2 linked regions of the Lonchura striata genome follow. The protein of the gene in region 2 interacts with the protein of the main gene of each other region in a pairwise test. Links are inferred from orthologs where the notes say so. Each region holds a gene or a part of one and is shown on either strand. Other genes may lie near its edges. The genes, in order: UGCG and RTN1.

Region 1 (10,580 bases), on a different chromosome or scaffold from region 2:
GGTTGTCAACCATTGGAATGGACTGCCCAGGGAGGTTGCAGAGTCCCCTTTCCCAGGGATATTAAAGAAATGGACATAGCACTTGGTGCTAAGACTTACTTGACGAGATGGTGATCAGTCAAAGGTTGGGATCAATGATCTTGAAGGTCTTTTCCAACCTAGATGTTTCTGTGCTTCAAACTTATTCAAAGTAGAGAAAAGAGGTGGAAAGAACCAGATTTTGCAAATACAGAATGGAAGAACAGTACCTTAGATATCCAAACCCTACAACTTCAAATGCAAGTACAGCATGAATCATTGCAAAAGAAATATTGTCTTGATCTTAATCTCAACAACTGCTGAAAGTATTTCAAGACAAAAAAGCTTACTTTTTTTTAATAACTCCATTTATCTACTTAATTCACACATTCTAAGTGCTTTGCTATATCAAACTTCTTAAATACCAATGGGAAACAATAGAAGGATGACTGTCTAGTCCACAACAGCTTTACTGACACGTTACAATATTATCTTAATACTCCAGTGGCACAGAGGGGACCTTCCAACTCACCAATACAGCATGGCTAGACACAGTGTAGATTGAGCACAAGCAGTACCTCAATGACTTCAGAAAAATTAAACCAGCAATACTGTCTGTAAGGAGAAAACAGGAAGACTAATTCCTTTCATCCTTCTCCTTTACTGCCTATAATAGGAACAATGTGTTATTCAGTAGATGCCAAATATCATCTAGTTCTAGTCTAATACTGCATTCTCCAACATAAAAAGCAGTTTCTGTCCATATGTGAAGATCCTTTCCTACCTCAGGGGTCTCAGAAAGGGTGCAGTGTCTGCCATCCAGAATAAAACTAGTCTCTATGAGATGAAGGGCACTAGTAACGGTGTCCAGCCACCAGCATTTTCAGCCATAACACCAGCAATCATCTTTTATCTGGAGCCCTTTCCCCATAAACAAGCTCCAGCATTTAACGCAAATACCACTGATCAACTCCTTCACCTTCCCTTCACAGAACTTTCTTTCTTGCAGGACCAAGCTATTCCTCCATGTACAACTCCATCAGACAACCTCCCAGCCATCCCCCCTCACACAGGGCAATGCTAACAAGTGGCACAGGCTCCAAATGCACCAGCACAGTGCCCTCTCCAGCCATCAGCAACATCCCATCAGCTACTGTTTCTCATCACCACCACAGATGCTGCAAGGACAGTTGCTTGGGATGGTGTCCCCCACTTCTAAATTTTCACTTCAAAGGGCAAGTGTGTGGTCACACCATGGGGAGCTGTGGTCCTTTTTCCTCAGATGTACAGAATCACTGTAACCAGGGCAGCTCCTCAAAAACTGCTTGTGAACCCAGAACAGTTTGCAATTTGGTCACCTCAGTGCTACCAGCTGCTCACCTCCAACAGAGGGGCACTGTTTTGCACCAACTACTAAATACACCCATTGCCACCAGCCCATTACTCTGTCAAAGACAGCTCCTGACTCTGGCCCTACTGAGATGGCAGTTCCAGAGCCCTGCTGAAAGCAGACCAGGGGCCTCAGAGGCTGAGATTAGATCACCCCACTTTTTACCCACTCCATCCACAACTATTTTTTGGACAAGTTTTCCACCTGTTAACACACAATTTATACATGCACTTGTAATAAAAAACACAATTCCTTCCAGATTTCACACCACTGCAAATATTCTAGAATGCAGGCCATACCTAGTCCAGCTGCTGCCTGCATTCCCCACCAATTACTGTCACAGGCAAAACTGCCTCAACTCAGGCAATTCAATTTAAACTACTGGCAATCATCAGGCAACTAATTATCAATTTGGGTATTGAGGAAAACAAGACAACCTAACTTTCAGGGAAGTACCTTTTGTCCTCCTTCTCCAGGCTCTGCTTCAGTAAGAAACATTTCCCCCTCACCCTCCTCTCTGAACTGTTCATTTGCATGGTTCCTTACACTCAGTCCCTCCCCAGCCCTTCAGCAAGATGACACAGGAGGCAAGGGTCAGCACATAATGGTTTTTCTGCCATGACTTACTTCTTACTCATTTTCTTCCATCTTCCACTACTGGTTGTGTCTTAAACTGCTACTCTGCTCTAGCAGGTGTAACTGTTCAGGAATGACTGATGTACAGGTTGCAATCCCTTTGGCAGAGTCTGTGCTCCAGTATGGGCCTGCCATGGGCTGCAGTTTCCTCAGGGGAGAGTCAACCATGGCGCTGCAGCCCCTCAGGGCGTCTCTACACCAGCACGGGTTGTCCACAGGTTACAGTCCATTCAGGAGTACCTTACCTGAAGCCCAGAGTGCACTCAGGAGTGTCCCTGCTCCAGTTCTGCCCCCAAAGGAGGCAGTTCCTTTGAGGGGGTAGCTCCTGTGGCATTGACTGCCCAGAAGTGTACCCTTCCCTCTAGCTCTTCCCTGCTCTGTCTTCTCACATCTCTTAGCATATCTCATCATTCTGCCTCCTATTCACCCTCTTGCACATCTTCCCTATTTGTGTCTCCTGCCCATTTCAGTGGTCACTTATTCATAAAAGCACCACACATGCTCACTTGGCAGGTTGAGATTTAAGCACGCGATAGATAGTTTTAATCATCTCTAAAGTCAACCAAAATCAGCCATGCCCAAAGTAGTCTCTTCCCCCACTAAGCACACTTTCTGCCCCCCCAGTACTGAAATCACACCATTTGTGTCCAAGGTAACCCATACAGATAGTTTTCAAGAGAGAAATTAATTATCCAAGTGAATATAAGATCTAAGGATAACTGAACTATAGCAAAAGAAAATAAAACTCTTAGAGCTTATTAGTGACTTTGTATTTTAAAAAACAAATCACCCCCCCAGAAAAAACCACAACAACAAAACCACTAAAAAAAAAAAAAGGAAAAAAAAGGAAGGTGTTCATAGGTTCAATTTTAAAGTGTTAGTGGGCCCAGTCTTGTTTAACTTATACATCAATGACTTGGATGAAGGGGCAGAGGCCTGCTCAGCAATTGCACTGACAACACAAAGCTGGGAGCAGTGGCTGATACCCCAGTGGCTGATACTCCATGGACCCCAGGTCCTTCAGAAGGACCTCAACAGCCTGGAGAGATGGGCACAGAGGAACCTTCTGAAATTCAGCAAAGGCAAATGCAGGATCCTGCACCTGGGGAGGAACAGCCCCAGGCACCAGCACAGCCTGGGTGTGACCTGCTGGGAAGCAGCTCTGTGGAGAAGGAGTTGGGGGTCCTGATGGGCAACAAGCTCTCCACGAGCCAGCAGTGTCCTGGTGGCCAAGAAGGCCAGTGGTATCCTGGGCTGTATTATGAAGAGCATCGCCAGCAGGTCAAGGGAGATGAACCCTGACCCTTGTCTCAGCCTTGGCTCCTCACCTGGAATCCTGTGTCCAGTTCTGGGGTCCCAAGTAAAAGGGAATAAAAAGAGTATCCAGCAGAGACCTCTGAAAATGATTAAGGGATTGGAGCATCCCTCATATGAGGAAAGGCTAAGGGAAAATAGATGTTGAAAATAGATGACTGAGAGGGGACCCCATAAATGTCTGTGAGTATCTGAAGGCAAAGTGCCAAGAGGATGGATCCAGGCCCTTCTCAGTGGTGCCAAGCAATAGGACAAAAGGCAGAAACTGATACACAGGAAGTTCCACTTGAATACGAGGAAGGACTTTTTTACTGTACAGGTGACTGAGCAGGAACAGGTTGCCCAGAGAGCTTGGGGACTCTCCCTCACCGGAGATATTCAAGAACTGTCTGCACTTTAGGATTAACAAGAATGACTGGACCAGATGATCCACTATGATCCTTTCCAATCTGACCCATTCTGCGAGCTTTGTTTCAGTCAGGGCTGAGGTTTATCACAGGTACCTATCATATGCAGTAGAGCGGCAAGAAAGGAGAACAGATAAGCACAAGGAAAGCAAACAGAAATTCAGGTATTTTCTAATCCTAGTAGTGATGCAAGAATGGCCTTTTACTTAAGAAAGCAAAACAACTATCTAAAAAGAGATGCATTCTTAATCCTTTCCCCACTTACCCATAGAAAATTCCTCTGTCAGGTTCTATCTGTTTCATCAGTCACTAAAATGCAAACACTGCTCACAACTCTAAAGGCATTTTATCTTGGACTTATCCAAGAAGGATCTGACTCACTACATATACTTGTTTTACTAGTACTATCGTTATTTCTCAATACAAAAAAAGAAGTGTGCTTATGGCTGGCACAGAGTACTGTGCTCTTTCAGTTGTTCCACCTTTGCAGTCAAACATCATGCCTTTTCTAAGTCCTGTGCACCCTGCTCTCTCACCACCACCAGTAAAGTTAAGTGTACATCACTACACAACAAACACCAAGCCTTCCCCAGCAGCACCAAGGGCAACGGAGCAAAGATCGCCGCACAGAGCAGGAGGCAGAAAACCAGCAGACGGTTTTTACCCGAAGACGACGGCAGGGACACAGCCATGCCCTAAGCACGGCCAGCCCGACGCCCGGGTGTCCCGGCGGGGTCTGCGGGAGCCACATCGCAGGCAGGCAGGCGAGTCCCCGGCCTGACACCCGGGGCAGGGGAGCCGCCGGCCCGGGGCGGAGGCGGCGCGGCGGACGGGGCCCGCTGCCCGGCCGCCCCGGGAGCGATGGCGGGTGGGTGACGGAACAACGCCGGCGCCATCCCCCCGCACCCCAGCGCTTACGTGTAGATGATGGACATGAAGTGCATGAGCCAGAGAACGACGAAGAGGATGAGCCCAAAGATGGCGAGCCCCTCCGAGGCCAGGGCCAGCACCGCCATCCCCGGGGGCGCGGCGGCCCGGGCAGGAGCCGGCGGTGGAGCGGAGCGAGGTTGCTGCGGGGGCGCGGGGCCGGAGGAGGGAAGCGGGGCGCGGGGCCGGAGGAGGGAAGCGGTGCGCGGGGCCGGAGGTTGCTGCGGGGTGCGGGGCCGGAGGAGGGAAACGGGGTGCGGGGCCGGAGGAGGGAAACGGGGCGCGGGGCCGGAGGAGGGAAGCGGGGCGCGGGGCCGGAGGAGGGAAGCGGGGCTCGGGGCCGGAGGTTGCTGCGGGGCTCGGGGCCGGAGGTTGCTGCGGGGTGCGGGGCCGGAGGTTGCTGCGGGGTGCGGGGCCGGAGGTTGCTGCGGGGCTCGGGGCCGGAGGTTGCTGCGGGGTGCGGGGCCGGAGGTTGCTGCGGGGCTCGGGGCCGGCTCCGGGGGCGCCGCTGCTGCTCCGCACCGGCCTGCGCGCGGCAGCGCCCGCGCACCGAGACCGCCGCCGCCTTTCTGTCAGCGCAGGGGGCGGGGCGGGCGGGCACATCCGTTACCGGCCCGGCCCCGCCCGCCGCCGCCGCCTGACCTTGGGCGCGTCCCCCGCGGGCCGCCGAGGGAGGTGCGCGCCGCGGCGGCGGGCGGGTGTGCCCCGCTCCGGCCGCCGGGAGGGGTGCGGGCGCGGCAGGAGCGCTGGCTCTGTATCGTCCAACTTTGGTGTTGGCCGCTGAGGAGACCGCAGTCCTTTATACACGGAGAAGGGGATCGGGGGTAGACGGATATTGCCGGTGCCGCCGAGCATCTCTGAGGAGAGGCTGTGGGAGCTGGAGCTGTTCAGTCTGGAAAAGAGAACACTGAGAGGATCTCATTAATACATATAAATATCTCAAAATCAGGTGCCAAGACTCAAGGTGCCAGAGTCTTTTCGGCGAGGCCCAGCGACAGGACAGGGAACAGTGGCCATAAACTAAATCAGAAGTTCCACCAAGAAGTTCCTCTCAACGTGAGAAAGTACTTCTTTACACAGGTAGAGCACTCGGACAGGCTATGCAAGGAGGTCATGGAGTCTCTTTCTCCCGAGACATTCCAAACTCACCTGCACTTGTTCCTGGTTCACCTGTTCTAGGTGACCCTGCCTTGGCAGGGGTGGTGGATGGGATGATCTCCAGAGGTGTCTTCCAACACTAACTGTTCTCTGGTTCTGAGATCTAGTGTGAGGGGGGCTGATAAAAGGCTGTATGGCCTTTGTTGTTTTTCTTTGTTCCTTTTCAGTCTGAACACTTTCTTGGTGATGTACTATATCTAGCATAGGTGTGCATCTGTGAGTTGCCGGCAGCGCTGAACTCTGTGAGTCAGAGATCTGCTCCAAGGACTGGGGCAATTCCAACACTCATACTGCCATCTGTGGATCCCAAGCAGTGCTAAAGCAACCTGGTGACTACCAGCTTTGGCTACGTTTGAGTTAGTGTCCAGTTAATGAAAGAGTCAGTTGCTCATTACTAATCCTCTGAGCCAGCTATTCTTGCCTTTATTTCATTACAGTGTTTATGGCAATTCCTATTACTGTCATGTGGCTCCATTTATTTTTGAGGGGTTTCATAGGCAGAAACCTCCCAACACTTCTGCTTTCTTTTACAGTTCAGCATTTTTGATCTGGGGTCAGAAATATCAGTTTATCTTTTTTTTTTTTTTTTTTTCTTATTGTGTAATAGGCAAACATGCATTGTATTAACTGTTTTAAATTAAACTCCATTAAACTGGGGTATGCAGTGAGAGGACAAAATGACTTGACTGGCTGTGCCTTGACTATACTGAACTTGCCAGAATAAGCATAGCTTTACATAAAAGACTATGTTTACCTGTACATAAGAAGGCATACTTTTTCTCAGTAGTCTTCACCAATAACACAAGCTGAATATTGCAGTGTATGCATGTTCTCTAATAGTTGTTAGTTTTATTCCTCCACTGCTCTCTCTTACTAATGTAGGTACAGGAGTGTTCCTAAATTCTGCTAGAACTCAGTTGTGGTTTTGAAAAGTATCCTAGTCACCACAATAGCTGTAGAAAGAATTTGGTTTCAAGTTAGCTCTAGCTGTATGTCAGAAGTTAAGATATAGTAATTTAAAGGCAACTTAAAAAGGTATCTCACCTGGTGTGGAATTGACCAAATTAATAATTTAAAACTAAAAGCGAAAAGCTACTAATAACTGGTAATAACAGGTGAGGTATCAGTCCATTCTAGTGTGAATACTGCCTGTATAATCTGTTAGTTCCTGGTTAATGTTAGTTTCCACATAAATAAATCATGGGGCCAGCAACATGCCTTTTCACTGGCTTCAGTGATTTCTTATTATAACTTCCTTAAAAATAACTTTTCAAGTAAAACAAATTACCTTAATTTTCAAATTCCCCTATTGTGTTTGTATGTCATTTGTAACTGAAAGTGGCAGGTATTTTTTCTATTTGTTCCTTCATTTAGAGTCTAATGATCACATTTATATTGATTTAAGATTGCCTCAATGAGCTTTATAGGAATTTTTTAGCTGTGATTTAAATTGCCATGCTCAATGTTGGCACAGTCACAAGACTCAAAATAGTTGAGTTAGAGAATTCAGAGCTGATACGTATTAATTGTTGGAATATAGCTCATATGACCTTTACCTCCATCTTGCTTGCATCTCTCTTCTAAGGCAGAAACAGCCTATGCAAAAGAGTATCTTGGTTTAAAATATGACAGTACAGGGAATTCAGGAAGATAGAGGGCCTGCTGCCAGTAATCAGTAAAGCAAATAATCTGAGTTTATTAAACTGAAGCAGTAAAGCTTATTTTTTTGTGCTCGAAGATGTTTGCCTGCAAGATTAGATTGAGATGCTGCTTATTGTGCAATAGGTAGGGTCAATGACTCCTTGCAAACAAACTTTGCTGAGGCTTCTTCATAAATAAGATGAATAGAGGTACTGACTCCTGTACTTCAGCCAGCCATACTGATGAATGAGCCGTCCTCAAGCAGTGTTCCACGGGGAAACACCAAGCTAGTACAAATAACTTTGTCCAGAAAAGGATCCACCTTTATGTCATCCTCTCTGGGATGTCATTCTGCCCTCTGGTTATATGAGGAGAAAGAACTCTCTCATGAGGTATTTAAGGTAAAAAGTTGCAGCACTCAATTTTCACGTTGGTGTAAGGTTTAAAACCAGAGTCTTCAGTATACTTTCAGGATTGTAATGGAGGAGAATCAGGGATGGTAAAGCCTTCAACCTGAGCAACTTCTCTTGTAAAATTTGCTGCCACATGGATTCTTTCAGCAGGTATATTAAGATTAGTAGGGGAGCAAAGAGTAAAGGGTGCCTAAAGCATGGGACTGCCTGGAGTTGTGACAGTTCAGTAGTATGGGATGTACACTTGGTCTTCCCTCTGTAAGTGTGGAGTGCAACAATTCACAAAGAGAAGTGTTCTTCAAGCAGGGCAAATCTGCCTACTGAAACGTACCTCATTATGCCTTGGGGCAGGATACACCCTGGTGTTTTAATCAAGTGCTTGGGACTTAATGCAAATGTGTGCTATGTTTAAATTAAAAACAAAATTAGCCCTCCCATGTGCTATAAAGCTGCTGTTCTTGGTTCACTCATCATTTTGCCAAAATATTGATTAATTTTAACAATGTTTGAGTGTAGTTTGTTGTAGGTTGAAAAATATTTAATTAATACAAATCTTCATCATAAAGGCCTGAGGTGACCTAGATATGAGACTTGTTCCAACAGCAAAAATTATGCAATAGAAACACTCGTGTAATTTTGAACTGATAAAAAGGGATAAATATAATTATTTAACAAAGGAACAATAGTGGATTAATCTGTAGTGATACCGGTATTAATGCTGAGAAGGCTGTGGAAACAAAAACCACTGATATTTCTCTTACTGGTATACCTATGAAAGGTTTTAACCCTATACAGACCTCCCAGTTTTCTTCTCAACCATCAGTTTCTGTTGAAAACCATTGCTTACATAAGCTTTGGAGACAGAAAATTGATCTAAGTCTCCATCCTCAAATGACAAGACAGTTTGTCACCTGGATTTCAGTTAAAATTGTATTTAAAATGTGCTGAATTGCTATTTCAGAATTTGTATTAGTGTTTCCAAGTATGTTTTTCCCAGTTCACTTTACTATTACTGTTTCTGTTTAGAATGGCATCACTGAAGTTCTGAGCAAATAGAGGGCAAGAATAAATTTGCTTTCTCTTGCTTATGTGTAATTTTCCTTATGAAAATATAAAATATGGGGAGAGACAGTGGAAGTTTTCTCTTTGCTTAATGATTAGATCCATTAATGCATCTACACTCTGAAAATGCTTTGGAAAATATTTCATTATAAAGAGAGCATGCATTGGTAAGGATTGTGTGTCTTCAAAACTTGGTTATAGTAATTTAAACTCTGAGATGTCTGTCTTCTTTTGTTAAAAATCCACTTTTGTTCATTTTAATTAAATCAAAGAAATGTGTGTATTACAGCTATGCATTTTTGTTACTATATAAATACTCCGCCTTGCATCTTCCTCTTAAATGTTTACGTTATTAATAAAGTTCACACTTATTAGTTGGATTTGATACAGAAATCTATGCAATTGCTTGTTAGCCTCCATGTCTGAGTTCAGAACTTACATTTAAGTCCTAGAGCACTTGCACATATAAAAGCCTGTCTAGCAGGGGCAGGAGAGAGACCAAAAAAGAGACAGTTCCACCAGTGTCCTCTTTGTTTGGCAGTAGCAAGCAATCTGACCTGCATGTGTGAAGTGGCTTGTGAGGCTTAACAAATGCAGTTCTAGTTAGCCCTTAACACAGACTTTATCTTGTCTGTTATTGTGTCTCAAAAAAATTGAACACCAGAAAAATCAGAGACCAGAGCTCTTATGCCCAAAGGTTGAAAAAGTTAAAGCTACAGGTTGCAGTGAAACCTCCAAGTACAAATCTGAAAGGAATAAAGCCTCAGTACTTTTGATCTTCAGAAATAATTTTGTAATAGAACAGGAAAGCAGTATTTAAAAAAGAACTCAGATGTTTCAGGTACATGTATTTTCCTTGACAAGTCGATCCAGGCTGATTAACCTATAAACCTCCCAAATATTGCTGTTGGCAATAATTAGGCTTATGCACTCAGCATTAAATTGTGGAATACTTGGAGAATATTTACATCTAGATGACCAAGGTAAATAATTTTGCAGAGTCACAGAATAATTTGGTTTGGAATAGACCTCTGGAGATAATTTATTCCAACTTACTGCTTGAACAGGGTCATTGAAAGTAATTTGCTGAGTTTGGAGTCATCTCCATCTTCATTACTCCACCCAACTAGGTATTTGTGCACATTGGTAACATTCCCCCAGGGCCTTCTGCAAGTTGAACAATCCTGACACTTCTGTCACTCCTCATATGTCAGATGCTTCAGTATCTGTCATCTTTGTGACCCTCAGCTAGTCTATTTCCATGCTGCTACATGCAGTGGCAATGCACATAACAATGAAAGCCAGGATAATGTTGGCCTTCTTTGTCTAAAGGGTGCATTGCTGCTTATGGTCAACTTTGTGTCCACCAGCACCCCAGGTCCTTCTCTGCAAAGCTGCCTTCCAGAGAGTTTGCCCTCAGTGTGTACTGCTGCCTTGGGTTGTTCCTCCCCAGATGCAGAACTTGTAATGTTCTTCCTAGAATTCTACATTAATTCCATGTAGTTTTTGTCAGCCTGTCAATCAGTCATCCAGACTGTCAAAATCCCACTGAATTTCAATCCATGCATGTATGTTATCAGCCACACCTTCCAGTTTTGTATCATTTGCAAACTT
Region 2 (11,248 bases):
AAACCATCAGAAATCTCTTTCATGCCGAGGTGCAAAGCTGCCAGCAACTGGAGAGAAACCATGAACTGAGATTCACTGGTGCAGCATTATCAGTGGAATTGAGGCTTATGGCAGGAGCACCTCACTGCAGGGGATTGGGTTGGTGGGTAAGCTCATGCTGAGAACATGTGGGTACACAGCACACAGCTTCAAACCCAGCCTCTACAAATCATGTGAATTAGAAAGGGGTTTTGAAAAGGTCTTTACTTAAAGCACTGGCATTACAGATTGTCCTCATCATGGAGCAATGGGAGCTAAAACCCCTCACAGTCTTCTGTCTTATATCTGCCCCTATTAGAGCATTAAACACTCCTGGAGTTTGGTCTCCCACTGCTCCCCAGCAGGCAGAGGCTGTTCCCCAACTCATCTGCTGCACCCGAGCAGCTTTGAGTCCCTCCCTGGCACACACCAAATGGGTGCTGTTACTCCCAGGGCTTCCACGCCACTGAGGCGCCCCAGGAGATCCCAGCCACCCCCTGGATGCTGTTCCAGAAGGGTTCCCACAGGCCATATTCCCCATCCCATCATGCCCCCATAGCCATGTCCCAGTTATTCATGCCATCCCCTGTGGCACTGGCCTCCTCTCCTGTGGGCAGCTGGACCTGACTTTGGAGGCAGCTGGAAATGGGCCAGGATTTCCAGGGATGTCCTGACTGCTGTGGCCTGTCTGACTGCCTGGAGTGAACGTGAGCTGGCAGCTCTCTAACCTCAGGGGCATAACACCACTAATGTATCACCCTGCAGATAGCCACCCATGCACCAGGCTGCATGAAATTTCCCAGATCCTTACACAGGAATCACCATTTGTGTGAGTTCCTGGCTTTTCCCTGCTATTTTTCCCTGCAGAACACGTCCAGCATGGAGGTACAGTCCATTGTACCATTTTGCCATTTCTCTGGAGGAAACCATATGTATTTATCCTGGGGAACGCCTGTCAGCCTGTGTAATATTTTTGGAAATAATTCCTCTCAAGGGATTTTAATCACTGTTGGTGCATAAAAATAAAATAACAGAATCTGTGACCAGATGGTGTGTTGGGTGACATGGGGCTCTCTTCACCAACATGTAATTCCTCACCAGCCCTTAAGGACCACTTCCCTCACCAGTCCTTGCAAGACGTGCCTGCAAGGTCCTCTCACCCTGAACCAAATTCGTTTTTGGGAAGGAGGAAAACTTTGAGGTATTTGAGGAAGAGAGATATTTTCAGCAAAATTCAAGGGCCAAGAAATGAAACAAGAGAAACAGCCTTATCCCTGATCAGAAGCTACTGGAGTTGATCTTCATTGGAGGCCTGCAAGAGGAGAGGCTGATGTGGGATCTGCAGCTTCCTGTTGCCCTGACTTTGCTTGAGAAATCTCTGAGCTTTCCACTCCTCGTGGGAATTTTTTTCTGCAGTCTCAATCACTGCTGATTTTGGTTGATCCAAAGAATGGGGAGTGAAATCCATTGCTTTTCATCATTCAGAAACCACTCACCAGGTTTTGACACAAAGCCAGCTTGGCTCAAAGCTGGGCCCAAGGCCAGCTTGAAAATATTCCTGAACCTTTCAACAATCCCTGGCTGGTTTTCAAACTTAAAACAAAAGCCAAGATCGGGGAAAGTTTGCAAATTTTTAGGTTGTATAAGAAAATATCTGCACAACCTGTGATAAACTACCCCCATTTGCTTTCAGTTATTTTTATGCTGAGAGAATCTCCCAGACTCCAGACCCTGCTCTTGCCTCAGAAAGCATAACCATGGTTTTCACCAAAAAAAAAAAAAAAAAAAAAAGACCGGTCTGACAGGTGTGGAGGAAGATACAGGATGTGCTGGGGAAACTACCTGAAAATTATTCTGTCCAATTCACTCTTGTTTGGTTGGATGGATTGCTCCTTGTCCCCAGATAGCCCATTGTGTCAGGAGGGTTTGAGTTTATGGCAGATTATGGCAGTGTTGTAAAAAAGCTGGAGCTGTGCATCTCCTGCTGGGTCCATTCCTATGGCTTAGGAATAGGCAGGAATCTCTCTCTGAGCAGGAGAAATAAAGAGTTCTCAGAAAAAGCTTGACAGTTTCAGATATTCAACAATATGACAGTCTTCTTATTCAGAAACTTATGAATACTTAGTCACACAGAGAGAACAAGGAAATTATTTAGTTCCCCCGGTGAAGGGGGCGGGAGTCGTGGCTCTCTAGGTAGTGTGGAACAGAAATACAGCTGCTGCAGCCACAAACAGAGGGAGACTGCAGGGCTGCACTGCCTGGGATGCTGCTCTGTCTGCCATGGTCGGCCAGACACGCACACAGCCACACAACTGCTCTTTATTGAACAGGGAAAACAAAATGGGAAACGTTTAAAGCACGCTACTACTCTTACAGTACTGCTGATTTGACAGTCTGGGAGTCCACAGCCAGCAAACACCAAAGAAATATCTGTATCACTCACTTTGCCTCCACCCTGTCACAGTTTGACACAAGCAAACACATCTAAAACCCCTTTGCAGAGGACTCCAAAAGCTAAAAAATTCTTTTCATCTTTTTCTTTTTTTGTCTTTCTTTCCTTTTTTTCTCTTTTCTTTCTCCTTTTTCTTTTCTTTCTGTCTCTCTATTCTGCATTCTCCAAGTGTAAATCTACAGCCATGTCAAGCCTGAAGAAGCCTCCATTAATTGCAAGCAGTTTCACAGTGTTTCCATTTAATAGTGATTTACACAGTTTAAGAGACCACCCCTCTTTGTTCTGTATGCTAAGATTCAGCATGGCCGTATTTTTATCCATCAGTGAACAAAAAAAATAAAAAGCTCACAAGATTCCTTTCCCCTCTTCTTCGTGTCATTATATGGTTGAGGCAGCCCTACCTGGTGACCACAATCCTGCCCCTCTTCACACACACTCCCAGAGCCTGACATCCCCAGCCCTCTGCCCCTGCCTCCAGTAAAAGTCACGTTTCACACCCCGACACTCAGCTCAGCGAATGAGCAGCACATCAGCAGATCAGCTGCCTGCCCAGAGCTACAAAACAGCAAAACATTTCCCACATCAGCTGAGGGGTGTTAGATCCTTCTACCCCTGAGCTCGGTCACATCCAGCAGACAGGGGAACATCCATGTCGGGAGCACCACGGGCACCGACGCACACCCAGACCCCACGAAACCACCCGTGTGGGTATGAGCAGAGCCAGCTAAATTTTGTGCTGATTGACTGGAGGGGATTAGAAGGGACTCAGCCCAAAAACGCAGTTCCTAATGCTCCTGCAGCTATTGCATAACAGAGATCGATTCCTGTCCCGAGCCCTGACCCTCAGCTTACTCAAGACAAGTTTAATGCTTCAGGATCTGTAATGGAAACATCTACTTCCCAGTGAGATGGGATGTATCAGCTCCCCCAGGGCTGGGGCTTCTGGCTGTTTGGGTTCTCTGACAGTGGGAAAGAAAGTAGGGATTTGTCCCCAAGAATGAAATAGAATAATTTTCCCCAAAACATTTCTACCAGAAGCTATGGAGAGCTGAAGCCTCCTGGGGTTCATTAACAGCTGTACACCTGCTATTAATACATCTACTAAAGAATGCAACCCCAAACCAAGGGAAATTGAACACATCCCCAAAATAAACTGAAAATCAATGAACCTGCAGACCCTAAACTGAATGCACCTGAAGTCGAACACACCTCAGTGCTCCAAAGGTGGAAAACACAGCAAGCAAGAAGTCCACAAATAAATGAACAAGTCCCAAAAGCATGCACAAAATGTACAAACACTTCAGAATAGGCACTCCATTAAAAGCTGCGTGTTGAAATAATAAGTGACCATGCAGGAATTCCAGGTTCACGGGGGATAGCTGAAGTAAGTCCATCGAGATCTGTCACTCCAGATGTGAACAGGTGTATGACAAATGATGACAGATCCACATCAGCTCAGGTGAAATCAAATGCCTTTCAACATTTGCCTGAAATCTGCTTGTCTTGTGCCTAACAAACTGCAAAGAGCTTTAGGGAACTTGGCTGTCTCCTGCGTCCCCCCTCCCCCACATCAGCAAAAAATAACTACTTGCAAAGGCCGCAATTCCTCGTTATTTTCTGTTTCCCTACACGCGCTCACTAACTCGCTAGCAATGTTTCCAAGCAGCCAGGCTGGGAGGAAAACAGAGGCAGCGTCAGGAAGGAGACAACCGGGAGACGCCGCTGCCAGGGCCCCCTTTGTTGAGCATCCCTGGGTACCCCTCGCCTTTTACCTGGGGATGCAGTCGCCATGGAAACGGGCGGGTGTTCCCTGGCGGAGCCGAAGCCCAGCTGCTCCCGCTGCTCAGCCCCGTCTCCATCCCGCAGCGGAGCCCCGGCCGCGTACTGGTCCGGCCGGTCCGCAGCCCAGTGCAGCCCAGTGCCGGCCAGCAGCAGGTCCTGGGGGTCCGGCGGGGCTGACATGCTGACCTCCGGCTCTCGGGCGCAGCGGGGGCCAGCGGAAGGGCTGCGGTGGCCGCCGGGCTGGGCTGGAGCTGCGGCCGCGCTGGGGTCTGGCCGGCTGCGGGGACCGGGAGCCGCCGCCGCCGCTGGATCTCCACCGGCGCTTGTTACGCAGGTGAAAATGGCTCGTTAGCCGGAGCCTTCCAGCCCTTGCGTCACCCTGTGGCTGGCATATCACAGGGCAGGGATCTGCCAGCCGGGCTGCTGCTCTCCCCCGTTTAACTGCTTCAGCAGGGTGGGCATCGGCTTGTGCGGGTAAGGGAAGAAATGCCCCCCGGCAGGCAGGCAGGCACACGCCTCCCTCTCCCCTCCCGCAGCCCCCCTCCTCCGCATCCCTGCGCTCCTGAGCATCCCGCAGGCGCCGCAGCCGGGCACGGCTCCTCCCGCAGCGCCGGGCTCGGCCGGCAGGGCACGGAGCTCTCAGCAAGCCCTAAAACCCCAAAATCAGCCCGTTCCCCCCATCTCCGCCAGCCCCTAACCCAGCAAGAGAAGCCGCGCTGCGTTTGTTTATCCGGTTCGTTCCTCTCTGTTTGCAGCTTATTGGCACTTGTCAAAATAAACTCGCAGCAGGTGTCTGTGTGCCTTTTTTTTTTTTTTTTCTTCTCCCCCTTTTTTTTGTGCCGTTATATTTGCTTGCTTACTGCCTCACAAAATCATGTGTGTGTACCGGGGCGATGAGAAATGTCAAGAGATTTTTGCTGTCAGGGAGAGCAGCAGCGTGAGATACAGCAAAGGGGAAAGCACACAGCAGAGTCGGTGCTTTCACAGAATCTGTGCTACTTCTCAGGTGAACAAGGAACAAGTTTCCTTGCTGTCCTTTTACAGAGGAGCAAATGGATTCAGGTAACGGGTATGGGATCATTCCTGCATTGCACAGAGTTCTGGCACAGACAGATCAAGGAAATAAATTCCCTGCCTTGCAGAAGGGCCTCTCTCTTGTCATGCGACAGGTCAAGCTGCAAAGTGGAGCATAATTGCCCCAGCCAGAAGATTTCATTCCCACAGGCTCTCTGCCTGTTGCAGGAGTGGATCTCAGCTGTGATCTGTATGTCCCAGCAGCCCTAGGCAGCCTACAGCAACCTTTATGCTTGGGTTTGAAAATTGGACATGTTTCCTCTTTTTTCCAGACAAGGGGGGAGGAAATCCAGGGTAAGGCCACAATACAAGATGAAAAGCTTTGAAAGTAGCCTTGATGATTCTCATTTGTGCTATCTTCTCAGGGAATTGTCACCCTTATCCTCACTCCATTCTGCTGCTGCCTGAGAATCCTAGAATGGTTTGGGATAGAAGGAACCTAAGAGACCAAAGACCATCCAGTTCCACCCCCTGCCATGGGTAGGGACACCTTTCCATTATCCCAGGTTGCTCCAAGCCCAATCCAAGCTGGCCTGGAACACTGCCACAGATGCTGTGGGCAGGGGGGCCAGGGCCAGGGCATCACCAGCCTCACAGCCAAGAACATGCCCAGGTTCATATGATTTTCTATATTTCTTTATTTCAAGACAGGACATGTTTGCTGCAGATCAGCAGCAATGATTTTAGTCATCATGGCTGTAATGGCAAATCCCGTCCCATACCATCAGGGTTTACCTGATTAATAGATTAATAGAATGGGTGCACACGGCCACTGGGAGTGATTCATTCCCACACACCAAAGGGGTTATCGAGATGTCAGGCTGCTGCCATGAGCACAGACAGTGTTACTACAGTAAAAGGCTGAGAAGAAAGAGTGTGGACTGTGTGCTCTGCTTACTGAGTAGAAATGGGGACAAGCAGGAGTCAGCAGAGTGCCCAGGTGGTCAAGAAGGTCAATGGCATCCTGGCCTGTATAAAAAAATGTGGCAGCAGGACCAGGGAAGTGATTGTCCCTCTGTGCTGGGCACTGGGGAGGCTGCATCTCAAATCCTGTGATGAGTTTTGAGCCTCTCATGGCAAGAAAGACTTTGAGGGGCTGCAGAGGAGGGAAGGGAGCTGGGGAAGAGCCTGGAGCACAAGTCTGATGAGGAGCAGCTGAGGGAACAGGAGGGGCTCAGCTTGGAGAAAAGGAGGCTCAGGAGGGACCTTCTGGCTCTGCACAACTCCTGACAGAAGGATGGAGCAGCCAGGTGGGGGTCGGGCTCTGCTCCAGGGAACAGGGACAGGACAAGAAGAAATGGCCACAAGTTGTACCAGGAGAGGTTCAGGTTGGACATCAGGAACAACTTCTCCAAGGAAAGGGTTGCCAAGGATTGGAAGGGGCTGGAGAGGAGTCACCATGCCTGGAGATGTTCAAGCAATGTCTGAAGGTGGCACTCCATGGTTTAGTAACAGGGAGTTGGTTGGTCAAATGTTAGGCTTGAAGGTCTTGGAGGTCTTTTCCAACTGTAATGAGTCTACAATTGTATATAAATAAATATAGTTTAATTTTTTTTTTCTTTTTTTGCTTCAGGAATCCCAATTGTAAGGCAACCCAGGATTTTATTTCACCATACAATCAACTCTGCTCATCACCATGTAATATTGCAAGAGAAAACCAGAAGTCTTATTTCAAACCTTGGATTCAAACCCTGAGCTCCTACTGACCACACAGATGTGATACATACATTTCTGATAGCAAAGCTTTGGTTTGCCAGGAGGAGTGAGAAAAAAAAAAAAAAAAAAAAAAAAAAAAACAACAGGAGCAACAAGACAATACTCAAAAATCTTGATTAGTCCATTTTTCATGCTGTAGAGAAAACTTTGAACTTGGAACAACCTGGGCTGTCCTGCATGAAGTTAATTTACAGGGGTTTTTTAAGTTCCCCACAGGAAAATCAGGCTGGATGAAGATTTAATCTAATACCTATTTAAGAGAGGTGTGAGTTTGTTAGTGGCACAAGGAACAAAAACGAATTCTTTCTATTTTCAATGCATTTACAAAAGCTCCTGGTAGTTTGTATCGTATTGTGTAGCAAACTGACCTGCACAGGGCTCATCTATCTCTGCTTATTGGTATTTAATTACCTTGATCTACCCTTTGGACATTATAAACCTCTGAATGTATGAAGTCTGAGAACACAGACACACAAATTGCTTCTCTTTCCATTATAGCCCTTTGTGTTCTGGGGATGCTGCATGATGCTGGGACAAAGTGACTTTGAACCTTCAGGGAATTTGTGGTCTCAGATGTAAAATTAACAGCAAAGAGCCCAGGACCTGGCAGGGTATATCAAGAGATTCAGCAATGGAAAAAAAAATCATCTCTTCTTCCTTAAGGATTTATTCTCAAGATTTCAGAATAAATTAATTGCAACAGGAAAAAGGAAAAAAAAAAAAAAAAAAAAAAAAAAAGGCAGCTTTTCACATAAATAGGAAAATGAAGATAAGTAAAACAACCTCCCCTACCTCACAGAAAATATTTCAACACTGAAGCAGATACCAGACTCTTTTTCAGTTCTCCACATCTGCACTGCAGCCCACCTTGCTTCCCATGTGTCTCACATCCTCACCCTCACACAGACAAACCTCTGGCAGTGTGTGACAGCACTGGGCTGGCCTGCAGGCAGGAATCCCCTTCCCCAGCCTGCAATCAGATCCCATTTGGACACAGACAGGTGGGGAGCCCAGCAGCCCCAGTGCTGTGGGGTTACACTGGCACACACCCACCTTACAAGGCATAGAGAGGTGTTGGAACACCCAAAGAGAGTCTGGAAAGCTGGTGAGAATACAGCTCCTCCTGGGCAAACCAAACCACTCAAAACTGTCACTGCAGAGAGGCAAAAGGCCTGAGAGAAAAGGTGACCTGTGGGTGCTGGTGGCTCTCCCCACAGCAGAGCCCTTCATCATCTTTCAGTCCACACAGATCCTTCCCAGGGAGCCCTTTGGGTCTTTGGTCTTCCACCTTCTCCCTCTCCTTCTCCACAAGCTCTGGCAATGAAGCAGGGCCAGGCAGCTTCTCCAAGGTCCTTTTCATCTTTTCCTCCCCACAATAGTGGCAGTGTTTCAGGTTTTTCTGAACTTAGGCACCCCAAACTCCTGAGCTCCAAGGCATCATCCACCTCCCCACCTTCCCCACAGCCCCACCACGGGCTCCTGTTCCAGACTGCTTTGGGATTTGGAGTGTCTGCACCAGCCTGTGGGTCTTAGACCAGCTCTGTTCTGCAGGAACAAGCATCCCAGTGCCAGGAAAATGGGCCAAGGCCAGGAAAGGCAGAAGGTGCAGGTGTGATGGCAGCTTTCCAGCTTTCCCAGACAAACAGCTGTGTAGGGAGTGCTTCCCTTTGCAGAGAACAACTTCAGAGATGAGACAGGTACTGAGTCCAAAACTGCAGCTCTCTAAAATGATCTGGATAGTCCCACTCTTACCATATGCACTAAAATGGGGAGACTGGTTCACCTTGGACCTTTAGAAAGTGCAATTTCAAAAATACCAGAGTCTAAATAGCAGCATTTTTACTGCATGCTGTGTAATTTAACCTCCTTTCACTGCTCTGAGGTTTGCTGGGTGCATCACAGCAGAGCACAGAGACCCTGCCTGGCCCTTTAATTCCCACATCATACAAGAGCTTTCAGCTTCTCCAGCCCTCCAGTTGTAATGCAATGTGATTAAAGGTGGTGCTTTCCCCGGGTAAGCCTGACTGACTGCTCCATCCTTCATCCCCTGCGCATCCACAGCTGCTCTAGGAGTGCTGGGGATTGCCTCTGTTTCTCTGCAAAGATGGCTCTGCAAGGAAATCAGGAGCTCAAAGAGCAAAATTATCAAACCTGTGACCTGGCACAGCTGTGGGGTGGGTGCTGGCAGGGGTCAGAGAGGAGGAAACCTCCCAGGCTTCTGCTAAACATGGCCAGTTCTCCCTCCTCCCCAGCTTCAAGCTCTTTGCAGAGACAGAGCTGAGCAGAGCAGACAGGTGAGTAGGTGGGATATACAAAATACATGCAGCACTGGCCTTGTTTCAGCAGGGCTTGGCAGCTGGATTTCTCCCCCAATGTCTGAAAGGCTCTGCACTCCCCTCTAGAGCACACAACATCTGCTGAAGTGGCTCCTTGTCCTGGAGGGGGCTGGCCCAGCAGTCTGAATCTGAATCCATGCAATATCTGAGGATATTTGCATCCTCCATGTGGCAGCAGGATCTCTGCATGCCACTGCAAGTGCTGCTTAGGAGCATCTTCAGAACAATAATCTTTTCCTCCTTTTACAGAGCTCCTCCTGGGAGCCCAGCCCAAGGATACTACAAGAAGAAACATTAGAATTTGTCCTGTAGACATTCCCAGCTGCATGGAGCAGGACTTCCTTCTCTGAGTCCTGGCAGAGCAGTTTCAGAGGCCAGTCACCACTGAGGAAAATGTTCAGACTGACACCACTGGGTCTGGTGCTATTTAATTGCACTGTTAATGATCCAGCTGAAAGGAAAGCATGAGACAAGACAGTCCATGTGAGCCCGGAGCAGATCATCCCAGAAGTCTATGTGGGCAATGGTTTGATACTGGTTAAACAGTGAAAGCAAACAAAAAGATAATTACAATAAAAATATCCACAAATTTGCTTAGGGAGAAGCTGAAAAAAGGGAGACACAGGTCTGGCCAGAATTGTGTCAATCATAGGACAGTTATGCTGGTACATGAGAGGTACAGCCAGAGATGCAGAATCAGATTTTTTAATGCATTCTCATTCCCTTGCATTACATCAGAAGGTATTTGTGCACAGAGTGCTCTGTACATTACACAGCTCCTCAGCAAGTCCATTAGGGGTTGGCTTCTGAGTCCTGATTTATGCTGATCCATGCCTTTATCAGGCTTTGAGCGTTGATTATGCACCATTTGCACATCTCCAGAAACCCATGGATACTGAAGATTACGGCTTGTGAGCTGGAGGAGACTCAAATGGTTTTCATTTATAATTTGCCATGGCACAGAGGGTACCAGAGACTCGACCTCTGGAGATAAAACCCACAATCCCTTCCAAAACCCACAAGAGATTGTTCCTTTTAATGTAACTGAGAGGCACAACCTCCATTCCTGGGATCCAGAACTGCTGCAATATGAAAATATTGAGAAAAGTGCTACAAAAGGGAACACATGCTTGGTAAAAACAATGTTTTGTGCCCAGAGATACCTTAAGCAATTGTCACCTGAAGGTAATCAGCAGTGCTTCCAAGAGCTGCTGTGAGGATATTGGCTCATCTAAAGATACCATGCTATAAATTTAATCTAAGTGGTCTGAGGAGAGGGGAAAAACTCAACACTGCAATTGCTGCCTCGGTGTAACCTTGATAGCTGGGAATCACATTCCCCCAATGAGCTACATATTTGTCTTTTCTTCCATTTTTATAGCACAGGCCTAATTTTCTTGCTTTGTATACAAATGAGAACCAAGAACAGCTTTACAGCATCCATCGGGGCTAATCCATAAATTAAAATCCAGCTCAGAACTCCCCACCTCTCACTTTTAATTTAAATATTGCTCATGGGAAGGAGCTCTCTGAGGAAGAGAATGATGCCTGTCATGCAGTCAAGCCTGAGCACAGCACCTCTATCTCAAAACAGGAAATTCTAGATGTGTCCAGCTGCCCTTTGGAGCTGAAGGATGGGTGTGATACCAGAGGATTTGGGAATACTGAGCACAAACCTTTGCCAGTTGGTGCCCACACACCTCTGAGATGGGAATTGTGGAGCTCTGCAGTGCAATGTCAGACCCTGTCCTGCAGGATTTGGATACCAGACACCCACAGATGGCTGAGCCAGGCAGGAATTGCACTTTGTCAGTGTGAAACCAAGCTGGAGTTGTTCTGAGATCTATTTTTTATTAAATTCATTGAATTA

What was found.
Region 1: the proteins of RTN1 (region 2) and UGCG interact in a two-hybrid assay, tested with the Homo sapiens proteins (2 studies listed by BioGRID and IntAct). The link is inferred for Lonchura striata from reciprocal best matches to the Homo sapiens genes RTN1 and UGCG.

What each region holds. Positions count from the first base shown.
Region 1 is NC_134642.1:61,621,147-61,631,726, reverse strand, and holds the start of UGCG (ceramide glucosyltransferase), read right to left. Parts: upstream 4,795-10,580; 5' UTR 4,782-4,794; coding exon 4,684-4,781; intron 1-4,683. UniProt on the Homo sapiens protein: Participates in the initial step of the glucosylceramide-based glycosphingolipid/GSL synthetic pathway at the cytosolic surface of the Golgi.
Region 2 is NC_134608.1:5,409,575-5,420,822, forward strand, and holds the start of RTN1 (reticulon-1), read right to left. Parts: upstream 4,448-11,248; 5' UTR 4,433-4,447; coding exon 4,243-4,432; intron 1-4,242. UniProt on the Homo sapiens protein: Inhibits amyloid precursor protein processing, probably by blocking BACE1 activity.